Linked DNA regions of Caenorhabditis elegans. The protein of the gene in region 1 purifies or fractionates together with the protein of each later gene. This does not show direct contact. Each region holds a gene or a part of one and is shown on either strand. Other genes may lie near its edges.

Region 1 (7,107 bases):
ACTCAGTTCCAATAGCTCCGTATCACACTTTATACCACCGACGTGGACTAACTTTGCCTCTTACACCAAGTTTCAAAGAGTAATAATGAGCAAAGTCATGGCCATTTGAGTTTCATGACGACTTGTTCAGTCGCTACTCAATATGATACGGAGCCATCAATTTAGCTGAGTAGCGACTCAAACAAGTTTCAAACTGCCATAACTTTGTTCACTTTAGTCCTAGATACTTGCTACAAGAGGCAAAGTTGTAGAGTATAACCGTTTTAATTAAATGGTATTAAATGTGATACGGAGCCAAGCCATTAATTTTGCTGAGTAGCGACTCATCTTCAAATTGTCATAGCTGTGTGAATTTTTGATCCTAGAAACTTGCTCCAAAAGACAAAAGTAAAGCTAATTTCCTTTTTCCTAGACTTTGACCTACCTTAGCCAAATCCCTAGCCTTCTGATTATCAAATTCGGTACGTCCAGTGAAAGCATGGAAGATGATGACAGCAGGGCGCTTACGGAAGAACCCAGTAATTCTGGAAAACCTCAAAAATTAAAAAAAAATTCCCACTAAAAACTTACACAGGATACGCCAAATATCCCTCCAGAACAGTATTCTGTGAGTCTTTATATTCTACCAATTTTGTACAAATTGGGTTAAAATCTATGAATCCCTGACTTGCTGGGATTAGAAATAGTGCTGACAATATCATTTTGAGCATGTTTTAACACGGAAAATTTTGCGATAAAATGTGGTAAATTGGGGCACATTTTATACCGAAAAATTGCCACTGTAAACAAATGGAAATTTCGACGGAAAAATTGATAAAGGTCAGCAAAATTACCATAAAAGTCTAAAAATTGGCTGTTGTTTTGACATTTCACCACTAGATTTGCATATCACAAGGCCAGAGGACAGTCTGAAAATTTGAACTTTTCAGATTTTTTTGTTCTGAAAAAAAAATTTTCATAAGCTTTTTTCAAGGTTTGTGCATTTTAAAGTACGCTTTACTTTTATTGAAACAAGTTGCTACTCAGCGAAATTAATGACTCCGTATCAAACTGTGTGCCAAAATAAAAGTCAAAATAAAATTTTATTGGCTCCAATTTTGCTTTTTAGAACATGTTTCTACCTCATTATTGAAAAGAGTTATGCTGCTTTAGAATTTGATGAGTCGCTACTCAGCGAAATTAATGACTCCGTATCAAATTTTGTTCCAGCCAACGTGAAATTTTATGGGCTACAACAATTTTGCCTTTTGGAGCAAGTTTTCCTAGGACCAAAATCAGCAAAGTTATGCACATTTGAAATATAGCGAGTCGCTACTCAGTCGATTATTTAATGACTCCGTGGCACACTGAGTCGCTACTCAGTTAAATTTTCAAAAACACCATAACTTTGTTCATTTTGATGCTAGAAACTTCTTGCAAAAGACAAATTGTAGAACATGAAATTTTACGTCCGCTCGTATACTGTGTGATACGGAGCCATTAAAACTGAGTAGCGACTCGAGACTATTTTATGCATTGTATCCGATTGTGAATATTTCGATTTGACAAAAACTATACGGTTTTTAACTTTGAAATCTAAGCACTAGCTCTTTATCTGAACAAGTTACAAAGCTTCAAAGTTTGGCCAAGTCGCTACTCAGCCAAATTTTGAAACTGATTTTTAATATAGAAATAGCCTATGCAATACGTAATGTAAAAAATTTCAAAAATTGAAAAACTGAACTTGTGGCCGATTTATTGATTGATTCTTCTTTTTTTTTGTGTGTGGTTTGTATAAAATAATATTGTGTGTTCAACAATTGAGTGGTGGGCGAAAAAGTGAGAGGATTACTGTAGTTGTGTGTGTGTTGGGGCAATATTTAAAATTAAATTAATGATATAGATATTATGTGACAAAAGAGTGGGGTTTTGAGAGTAAAAGTTGAGAAAAAAGGCAAAAAAATGCGGGAAAAAAAAAGTTAAAATTTTCAAAAAATCATGAATTTTTGGTATTATTATTCACTGAAGTAATCGAATTCTTCTTTTTGTTTCCCTTAATTGTCTTGATAAATGGAAGAAAAACACTGCAAATTTGAGAACTGGGCCGTTCTGTTGATGAGTTGGAGCGGTTGGGTTTTCTGGAAAAAATTAATTAAAAATTGAATTTCTAGGATATTTTGCAGTTTTTCAGAGGTTTTTGCCAAGAAAATCAAAAAATGTAAAGTTTTTAGCATTTTTCCCCTCGAAAAACCGTCAAAAACGGAATTTCCAGTAAGTTTCTCAGTGGCGCGCACTTACAACCAGCGGTCGGCGGGAATTTGAATTTGTTGAGTTGAAAGTTGCATTTTAAGTAAGTTTTTATAGTTCTAAACCTAAAAATGTATCGAAAATTCGAATTTTACAAACCGCAAGCTACAAATGCGCCCCAATGCTAAATTTCTCATTGGCGCGCATTTGCAACCAGCGGTCGGCGGGAATTTGAATTTGTTGAGTTGAAAGTTGCATTTTAAGTAAGTTTGTATAGTTCTAAACCTAAAAAAGTGTCAAAAATGCGAGATTTGCAAAGCGCATGTTGCAAATGCGCTCCAATGCTAAATTTATGACTGGAGCGCGCTTGCAACATGCCGTCGGCGGGAATTTGAATTTTTAACGACTTTTCTAAACTTACGAGTCATCCTGAGTCTTCTCCTGATTCTCGATCCTCTCCAACTCCTCAAAATCAGTATTTTCTATCCGCGTGGGCGACACCAACGAATATGTAGATCGGTAGAAGGATTTGTCTGAAATTTCTAAAAATTCTGGAATTTTTTCTGAACTTTTTGCAATATATCTAGAAATTTGGAGCATTTTAAACGGAAAAATTAAGAAAAACCAAAAATTTACCTTGAATATTGAGTTTTGAGAGTTCCGAATTCAGATTTTTGTGTGCTTCAAGTGGGCTCGGCGACGAGATTTCCTGCTCAATTTTGTGGGCGAATGAACGGAGGAAAAGCTCTTCCCAAAGCTTATTTGGCTGAAAAATTACAGAAATTGGCCTAAAGACTTCAATTTGAATTTAAAAATTCTGAAATCCGGCTGGCCAAACGCGCTCCATTGCTAATTTAGCATTGGAGCGTGCTTGCAGCGTGGGGTCAGCGGGAATTCAAATTTTTGATTTTTTTTTTTTGGCTAGAATAGCATGTTTAAACAGAAAAAGCTCAGATTTTTACAAATTTTTTTGTTGTAAAAATAGAAAAAATACCAACCTCGTCATGCCCATCTTCTGTCATTTTCCGGCCATCCTGTAGATATTTGGGCTTTGAACTTTTCTTTTTACCCTGTCCAGTGAAAAGTGGACGCCATGATGGAGTACGCTTGGTAGAGTTGTGGCGGGAAGCTGAAAATTTTTAGAATTTTTTTTTTTGAAAAATTTTTGAAATTTTTTTTGAAAAATTTTTTGCTTTTTTTTTTTAATTTTTTCTAATTTTTTTTCTAGTTCTACAGTAACTTGACTTACCATTTGCTGATTCACTATCCCCACGTTTTCTGACAGAAGTGTCTCTGCTCAACAGGTTTGGAGCAGTTGCGTAGTAGTCGAGAGGAGTATCACACTGAACATTGACCATTCCAATCATTTTGTGTGTTGGGAGCTGGAAATAAACCAATTTTATGTTGGACAATTTTAAGATTCAAAAAAGTTACAAAGAAAGCAAGAAAAGTTGAAAAAAATTTTTTTAATAAAAAAAATTACTGAAATTTTTGAAAAAAAAACTTTTTTTCGTTTATCTAAACTGTTAAATTTGAAATCAGCACTACTTAAAACCTCGTCACATAAATTTTCAGCCAATTTCCATCAAAACTGTCAAAACTCCGTATCACAATGGATAACAGAGTCGCTACTCAGCCAATTTTCAAAATAAGCGCTAGGAAGCTATAAATTTTGGAATAGACTAGAATACGCACAGAGAATTCAACAAGTTAAGTTAAAATAAGTAAAATAGAGTGGTTTTTGTATTTTCTAATTATTTTTTTTTTAATTAAAAAAAATTTCAATTTTTTTTGACATTTTTTTCCCAAAATTTTTTTATTTTTTGTTAAAATTCTAATCAGGACTACTTAAAGTCAAGACACAAAAATTTTCAGCTTTCTAGCATTAAAACTGACAAAACTCAGTATCACAATGGTTAACTGAGCCGCTACTCAGCCAATCTACCAAAAAATTGAGCTAGAACAGTGTAAATTTTGGAATAGACTAAACCAAGTACGGTGAATTCAAAAAAAAAAGTTTTGAAAATTACAAAAAAATAGTTGTTGTTAGGTTTTCAGAGAGCAAAATTACAGTAACTTCCAGAAAATTCCAGGGAAAAACCCCACAAAAACATGGGCTAAAAAGTGTATTTGTCATCTGTTTTGTGTATTTAAAAACCCGAAAAACAGGAAAATCGGGGCGTGGCTTCCACTCAAGACCCAATTATTTCAAGATTAGTGTCGCGCCAAAATTGGTAAGAAACATGGAAAATGACGGTGGAGCGGCGGCAAAAAAAAAAACGAAAAAGTTTGTGTGAGGTGAGAGATGACATGAATGACGTTGTGGTGATGGTCTTAAGACGATTTAAAGGCAAACATCATGAAAAGATGGGCGGTATGGGGGGAATGAATAGGGGGGGGGGGGCAGGCAAGGAGAAAGCTATTCACCAAAAAAAAAGTGGGGCTTTACATTGAAAATTGCATGAATTTTCATCAAAAATGACGATTTCTAGATGTTTTCAAATTTACGGGGGTTGTCATGGGTATACTGTAGCTGTGACTACTTTTAAAGAAAAAATATTTAAATATTCAAATTCAGCGTGAAAAACTACACCTAGCCATGAAATTTTAGCTTTCTAGCTCAAAATTTAGTAAATTGGCAGAGTAGCGACTCAGGTATTGCGAAATCGATATAAATTACTCATTTTCTGAAAATTCAATTGATTTTGTTCAATTTTAAGCATTAAATTTGAATTTTGCAGCTAAAACTAGACATAGGAAAAAATTTTGAGACTTCTACCTCAATTTAGACAAGTTTTAACAATTTGGCTGAGCAGCGACTCAGCTAACCATAGTGATACGGAGTTTAGTCAGTTTTGGAGATAACGAGCTGAAAAATGTTGTCTCTAGGTTTTACAAGATACTGATTCAGATTTTTAACTGGTTTTTGAAAAAATTTGCTTCTAAAATTTTTTTTTGGTGAAAAAATTTTTCAAAACTTTTTTGAAATTTTTTCTCCGAAATTCAAAAAACCAAAATATTAATCAAATTTTCAGTTAATTTTCCAACTTCAACGTATTCAGTTTAGCCTATTCCCTAATTTTCAGCCCTCTAGCTCAATTTTTGGTAAACTGGCTGAGTAGCGACTCAGTTGACCTAATACGGAGTTTTCTCACTTTTAATGGAAATTAGCTGAAATTTTTTGGGCTGGCAGATTAAGTTGTAGGCTTTTTGAAAGTTGAAGTGAATTTGAGATTCCTTAAAACTGAAATTTCGAAAATTTTCAATTTTTGGAAAAATTTTGAAAAAAAATTTTTCAAACATTTTGAAAACTTTTTTAAAAATTTAATTTTTGATTTTTGACGCATCTATGTTACAAGTATTATTTTTTCTGTCTTTCACAAAAAAAATATGAGCCATTTCCTGTTAAAATTGACAAAACTCCGTATCACTACGGTTTACTGCTACTCAGACAATTTACCGAAAATTGAGCTAGAAACCTAAATTTTAGCACTTTAGCAACATTTTTCAAAAGTTTCCACGCAAAAAACCACAATTTTAGACCAAAAATCCCCCCAAAATGACGTTTTCTCGGACTTTTAAAGGGCTCTCCGGGGGGAGGCGCGGGGGTGACTCAACGGCTATTGTTACGCGCGCCCCTGTCAACCACCGAATAGGTTTTGCACCAAAAAATTGTATAACAAACAAACAGTTTGATCTCTGAGCCAATGAGCAAATGATGTGCTCAATGGAATCAAAGAATAGGTGACCATGCGTCATGTGATTGGAATTTGGAACTATTGAGATCTGGGAGTCTAGATTTTTTATTTTTTGAGGTAAAAACTTGCTGGAAAGTGGGAAATTTGAAGTTTCTGTGAATTTTCTTGTAGATTTTTGAATTTTCCACACGAAATTACGTCTAAAACTAAGTTTCCAACCCTATTGCTCAATTTTTGGTAAATTGGCTGAGTAGCGACCCAACTACAGAGTTTTACCAATTTCAGTGATAAAAATCTCTAAACTTAGGGTATTAGGTGAAAAATGACGATGATTTTGAAAATATTATTTAAAATTTGTCATTTTAAGCATAACGTCAATATTTTTAACTTTCGAAAATTGCATGTTTTTTTGAATTAGATGAGTAGCGGCTTAAAGTGTCCGATAGTAGAAAAGTAGGATCAAAAAACGAACTCTTGAAATTTTCCACTGTAAGTTACGCTAAGAAAAGAAAATTTCAGCCATTTGACACAATTTTTTGCTGAATTGGCTGACTAGCGACCCAGTTAGCATTTTCGTCAGTTTTAGTGGAAAATGGAAAAAAAATTGAAAAGTTATGAGTTTGTTTGAAATACTTTGGAAAATTTGAATTTTATTGTTTTTTTCAGCTAGAAAATTTTCGAAAAGTTGAAAAATAATTTAAAAATTTTTAAAGTTTTAGTTTGGATCTAAAGTTTTTTTTGCTGAATTTAAAGTATTTTACAAGTATCCAAAACTAGTCTAAAAAAGCTACATAACAGATTTTTCACTCAAAAACTGGTAAAGTTCCGTATCCCATTAGTTGACTGGGTCGCTACTCAGCCAATTTTCCAAAATTGAGCTAGGGATCTGAAAGAGAAAAAAAGGTTTTATGGGCAACTTTCAACGGGAAAATTATTTTCTAAATACAAATTTGGAAGAAAACCCAGTTTTTAATTTTCTAGAGCATTTTTTGAAAAAAAAAATTTCCATTTTTTTTATTTTTTTTTCAAATTTTTCAAATTTTTTTTCGATTTTCCCAAAATCTTTCAGCATAGTAATTACATCATTTTACTATTATCTAACCATAAATTAAGTACTGATCCCTTTGATGACAATTCTCACACTTTTTAAACTTTAAACCTCCAAAAATCATCAAAATTTTTC
Region 2 (5,814 bases), 9.1 Mb from region 1:
CTTTAAATTTTTTGAATCAAACTTTGCCTGTTGATAAGAGAAAAAAAATACTTTTTCACTAAAAGGAAGCAAATTGACCGAAATTTTAATGTAATTTGTGAACAATGGGAAAACGAAAAAATAGCGATTTCTCTGGAAATTTTTTTTGAAGCCGACACCGCAGAAAAATTCGTTTTTTGAGATCAATGTGAAAGCGCGCTCAGCAGCGAAATGAGCAGGATCCGCCTCCAATAGTTGGGTCTCGTTAGGTATTGGAGGCAAAACAGTGAATCTCTGAAGCAGACATTTTTCGAAGACATCCTTGATTGCCGAAAAATAAAACGTTTGAATTTTTAGGCTTTTGCCGCCAATTAACTAACGAGACCCATTGTATTGGGGCTGTGGAGCACGCTCGCACACTGATGGACAGAAAAACATCTGAAAATAATAATTTTTCTGAAAAAAAAGTATTTTAATTGATCAATAACCAATACAGAGATATCATAATCTATATCACAATAAAACAAAAATAATTCATTAAGAGCATCGATAACAAAAGAAGTGTTCAAAACGAAGAAGAAATCAAAAATAGAAAACAAATAAATCTAAAACTACAACTCCTATCTCACACTACCACATGGCTCTTTGGACTCCACTGAGAGCTGATCTATCTGCAAATCGACGGAACAAGTGTCTACTCAATCTGTATGGCTTTATCTTTCCACGTTGTCGTCCTGTGAACTGGCACATATTGAGAATCAGACGAGGATGATCGTATTTTCGAGCTTTTTGCATTTTCTCGGCTGCTTCGTCACGAATCGCTTGCGGGAGAATTGTGTTGAATTTGATAGCTTTTAGACGCATACGATCCGCGCCGACTTCCTGAAATTAAATTTTAATCAAGGGCAAGCAGCAGGCCTGGGCTTGTTTAAGGCTTTTTTGTCAAAAATGGGGGTGTCGGGGGTTTTTTGTTACAAAAATGGGTTTTTTCTGGTTTTTTTGGTTTGTGGGGGTTTTTTTAATAAAAAAGGGAATTTTTTGGTTTTTTCGTCACAAAAAATGGTTTTTTTTTTGGGTTTTCTGTTTTGTGGGGTTTTGTTTTTTTAAAAAGTAATGATTTTCAATAACGATTTTTTGGTGGTTTTCGAATAAAAAAAATATTTAAAAAATTTCAGACATGTGAAAAGAAGCGAAAAACTTTTTTTTGTTTATGGAAAATTTTTTTTGGTGACAGCCCTGGTGTTTTTTGGTATTCTGGCACGAAGAAAAATGCGATTTTTTTTTTGTATTTTAAACAATTTATATTTTGTAAATATTCTTATGGTTTTTGATGTTTTTTAGCTCTGTCGGTAGTGGTGGCCGCTAGCAGTCTGGAGGTCACGAGTTCAAGTCCGGCCTCACCCCCTAGGTTCACCCAGCCTCTATTGGGAAGTGGAGCAATCCACGACTGGATTATCGGCCACAGTCCCCGGCTAGGACGTGGCTTAAATTACAGCCCAGAGGGATCACCACCAGGCAGTGTACCTGAATCCCAGATCCGCAGTGCATAGCACTTGAAGAACGGATCGTCCTTTAATCCTTTAATCCTTTAAAACAAATTTTTTGGCACATATGACAATATTCGTATTTTTTGGTATTTTTTGTTTTGGTTCTTTTACAAATTTCAATTTTTTTCCTTTTTGGTTTGAAATAAAAACCAAAAATATTTTTAGCACATATGACAATATTCGTATAAAAAATAGAAACCAACCTGAATCTGCTCACGTCGTTTGACATCTCTCAACTGACGCCAACTCGCCCAGAATGTCATTCGTTTTCCGGTTTTCCACCATTCTCTCTCCACGTATCTATAGAAACGTATATTCAATACAAGTGTATAGTTTATGTGCAATTCTTTCTCACTTTGAGAATAAAAAAGCGGCAGGCAATAATTTCAAAAATATACAAAAAAAACCAAAAACCTACAATGGATACTGATCAAGTTTCAATTTTGTAAGCGCCTCGCTAGAATATGGTTGAGTGATTCGTTTCTCTTTCATAGGTTCTCCAGCATCTTCTACAGATGTTGCCGGTTCCGTGGATTCCGTAGTCTCTTCAGATGATGGTTTTGCAGGTTCAGGAGCTGGAGTTGATAAATATCTGGAAATTGTTGGACATTTAAATTAAGCCATAAGACGATAATTCCTGTTTTCTCAGCGCGAGAAAAGGATTGAGTTCGAATAACAAATTTTGAAATTTGAAAACCAAAAAAAAAGTTTTCCATTTAGTTTTTTTTTCGAATAAAAAAGCAAAAATTGAACTTTTCGTCAAAAATACGAGTAATTTCGCAGGCCTCAAACGTTTTTTTTTGTTGAGAATTTTCGAATATTTTAATAATAATTGCATTTTACTTCTAATTTCAAGTGTAAGTTTTCGGAAAAAAAAGGGAAATTCTAAAAATTAATTTTTTAAAAACGTTTCCATTTTGTGGCAGGTTCACTTTTTTCAACGAAAAATTTTCGCTTAAACAAATTTTATAAATTGAAAGTTTAAAATATTCTCGAGTGTAAAAAAAGCAAAACATCAAAATTTTTCGCCAAAAGCAGGATTTTCGCATAGTTTAAATAATAATTAGAGAAATCTATACTCACCTTCTACTCATCATCATTTCATTCTTGTAAAGAGCCGTCGATAGTAGGTCCGCTGCTCCGCGGAGTGCCCTCAACATCTGTGCACATACATTGCAATACATATTTAATACAATTATTCATGCATGGAAGGAACTGGTTGGAGGAAGTGTAACCTCTTTCATGATGAAAGAAATATGACATTAAAACGAATATTTTCATTGTTGAAAACAAAAAATTTTTACCGAAACAAAAAATGCGAAAAGACAGAAGAATTATAATACAAAAATAAACATAATCTGTCGGATAGAAAGAACAAAAGAAAGAAAGATTCCTGGGATGAAATGAATACCGGTGGATAATTATATGGAATGGATTTTTAAAAAAGTTATAGGCCGAGTTACACAAAAAAGAGAGAATCAACGTCCGGATTCGGAATACTGTAGTCCAATTTCCTGCTGTGTTTTCATGTATTCCTCGTCGGTCACAAATAAACTATGCTCTTGTCCCATGCTTTGTTCGAGAATGAGGTAGCTGTAAATAGTGTTATTTAGAATGCATTGGCATGTGTGCTGATTATAATTGCATAGCGTTTTAATAAAATTTATTCGCTTTGTATTGTATTGTTGTATATAGACTAGACTAGAAATCGAAAAAAAATAATACGATTTAAATTAATTATACTTCGATAATTTGAACATTGTAATAAAATCAATCTTAGTTGATTATTTTCAAAAATCGGGCACAACAAATTACATTTTTGAACTGAAACTTTGCTCTCAATAATTGAACTTACATCATCTCCATTAGATCTCCATTCTTGCGGACAGTTTTTGCTTCAATATAATCAAAGTGCAAATTGAGAGCCCATGTACATTGACCTCTTGCACGAGTGTAAGCCTGTAAGAAATTTAAATTTCACATACAACCTTTTTTCCTGAAAACTCACATCGTCCTTTAGAATCTTCTGTGACAATTTACTGGCAACTCTTATAACTTGTCTCCAGATAGCCGGATCACGTGTATTAGCTGCTTCTCGTTTCCAATTTTTATAGAGGATTTGATTTCCGGCGTCTCCAATCCGGTTGGCTGCATTCATCCAAGAGAACATAATAGTCAACGAGTTCATGAGAAGACGAGTTTCAAGTTCTGGATCAAATTGCTGATCTCGTTTCGCATTCAAAATACTATTTCTGCTGTCGGTGAATCCTTGAAGCTTCATCACTTGCAGACGACCGCTGGAATGCAGCTCGCCGAGCATCTTCGCATATTTCGAATCACATGGGAACGCTTGCGATGCTTGGAAGATCAACTTTTTGAAGTTTTCATTGTAGATGAAACGGTGTTTTTTGTGCGAAAAGAAGGTTATGAGAGTGTCCGTGATGAATTTCAAATCGATCTGATCACAGTATTTTTCATAAGTTCCACGATTGAAATCATTTTTCTTGGCTTCAAATTGCTCGAATTTGGTGATCGCGTTGGCAATGAGGCAGTCGACTGCACGCCTGCTGAATGCCATCTTGTCCACTGAAATTTAATAAAATAATCAATTAATTTTTACAAAGACTCAAAGACTATAAAACTCACAGAAAACAAATACCGCCACAACTTTCAAAGCTTCGCACAGTGCCTCAGCTCTTGGTAATTCTGGTATACTGTCGACCGATTCAAGATTGTCCTTCTCCTTGCAATGCTCCAGCAATTCGTTCAATCCTTGATCCAATGCCAATAAGAGAGCTTCATCACTTTCAAATTCCGAAGTGTGAATTCCAAGAATCTCTTTACAGAAAACATCTCGAGTCTCTTCTAAAGCATTTTGATTTAGAATAGAAAGTCTTCCACGTAGAACATTGGCATAAAGATGTAATTGAAGCGTTGGCAATGAAGAATCAGCGCTCTGAATGAGCTTTTCTGTTGATTTGGGGATAGCTATATCAATCATATCCCTAATCTTATCACGAATTGTTTGCACTCGTTCTTTGTCTTTCTTTAACAATATGACATCGAATTTAACATCATCTACGACGCCTTCCTCCATCTTGATCTCTTTATAATTCTTCCTTCTCTCGTCAGCTTCCACTACTTTTTCCTGTTCTTTCAGTGCACGCTCCCACCAAGACACAAACTTTTCCATGTAGACAATTCCTGTGATCTTACTCAGCATGGCACGCTTGAAAATGTCTGGATGTTTAGTGATGAATGTTCCAACCAAGTTTTTAAGATTCAGTTTAAAACTGTGGAAATTCAATTTCTTCTCCTGTTCCGAAGCTTCGGTGACGAGCATTGCCAGCAAGTACTTCACCATAGTCTTATCCAAGTATTCAGGATTGTTTTCGGTCAGTTTGAGTCGATTGTAAAGCATAAACTTCAGAATATTATTTCCAACTTCAAAGCACTTTTTCTCGGTATAAGTCGGAGTTTTGTAGAAGTTAACAGTAGAATCATTAGAAATCCAATCAGAAATGATTTGTTCGGTTGTTGTGAAGCAGTTCGTCTGGAAAAAAAAAGTATTTTTACAATTCCTCAAAATTAATTTCAAGCATAATATTAGTTGAAATTTGCTTACCGAATTTAAAAATTTGACGCCGAGCAACTCCAAAAAAGGTTGTACAAAATCGAAATTAGCACAATCGCCTGGTGCTTCATAATATCGAATTCTATCAAAAGGAATGATGTCCCAGAGTTCACATGTCTCTAAGTCGTCCACATGATCTTCATAAAGTTCACAATCTTTCAGTTTCGTCCGTTTCACGCGAGCATCGATGTTCATCATTTCTCGTTCAACTTCGATCCACGAAATCTGCACGTCCCGTTGAGCTTGAAGACACGTCGCTATTGTTTCCTCGGTGCGTGAAATAAGAATATCAAAATCATCATTTTCCAATTTCTGAATATCTTCATCAGATAATTCTTCCGATTGTTTAAGCATCTTCTCTGCACCAACAGCACCTTCGTCGCCGATTCGCGGAAGACCAGATTCCCAGAATTCCTCCAATCTGACTTCCCGTTCTTTTGAATTAGTGCTCGTCCGCTTTTCAACATCAGCGAGTCCAAAATTGTATTCAAAAGTGGCCTGAAATAAGTAAAATCTTGAAAAAAAAAGTGATTTAATACTCACAAAACCAAAGGTTTCTTAGTATTTCCTAAAATCTCACCTGTATGTTTGCCAGTACCACTGGCGTGTGTGCACAGGAAATCATCCACTTCAAATAACGAATATAAATCCATA

Evidence for each region. The genes of interacting proteins can lie anywhere in the genome.
Region 2: the proteins of T23F4.2 (region 1) and mrps-14 fractionate together in Caenorhabditis elegans (co-fractionation; one large-scale study listed by BioGRID). This does not show direct contact.

The regions. Positions count from the first base shown.
Region 1 is NC_003280.10:1,160,093-1,167,199, reverse strand, and holds T23F4.2 (uncharacterized protein), read right to left. Parts: upstream 3,611-7,107; 5' UTR 3,594-3,610; coding exon 3,476-3,593; intron 3,356-3,475; coding exon 3,225-3,355; intron 2,993-3,224; coding exon 2,863-2,992; intron 2,769-2,862; coding exon 2,648-2,768; intron 2,118-2,647; coding exon 1,976-2,117; 3' UTR 1,713-1,975; downstream 1-1,712.
Region 2 is NC_003280.10:10,239,805-10,245,618, forward strand, and holds mrps-14 (Small ribosomal subunit protein uS14m), read right to left. Parts: upstream 2,687-5,814; coding exon 2,610-2,686; intron 2,119-2,609; coding exon 1,945-2,118; intron 1,827-1,944; coding exon 1,730-1,826; intron 862-1,729; coding exon 610-861; 3' UTR 501-609; downstream 1-500. Other genes in the region: nrde-2 (Nuclear exosome regulator NRDE2), read right to left, coding at 3,005-3,119, 3,382-3,485, 3,535-4,112, 4,173-5,079, 5,152-5,658, 5,741-5,814.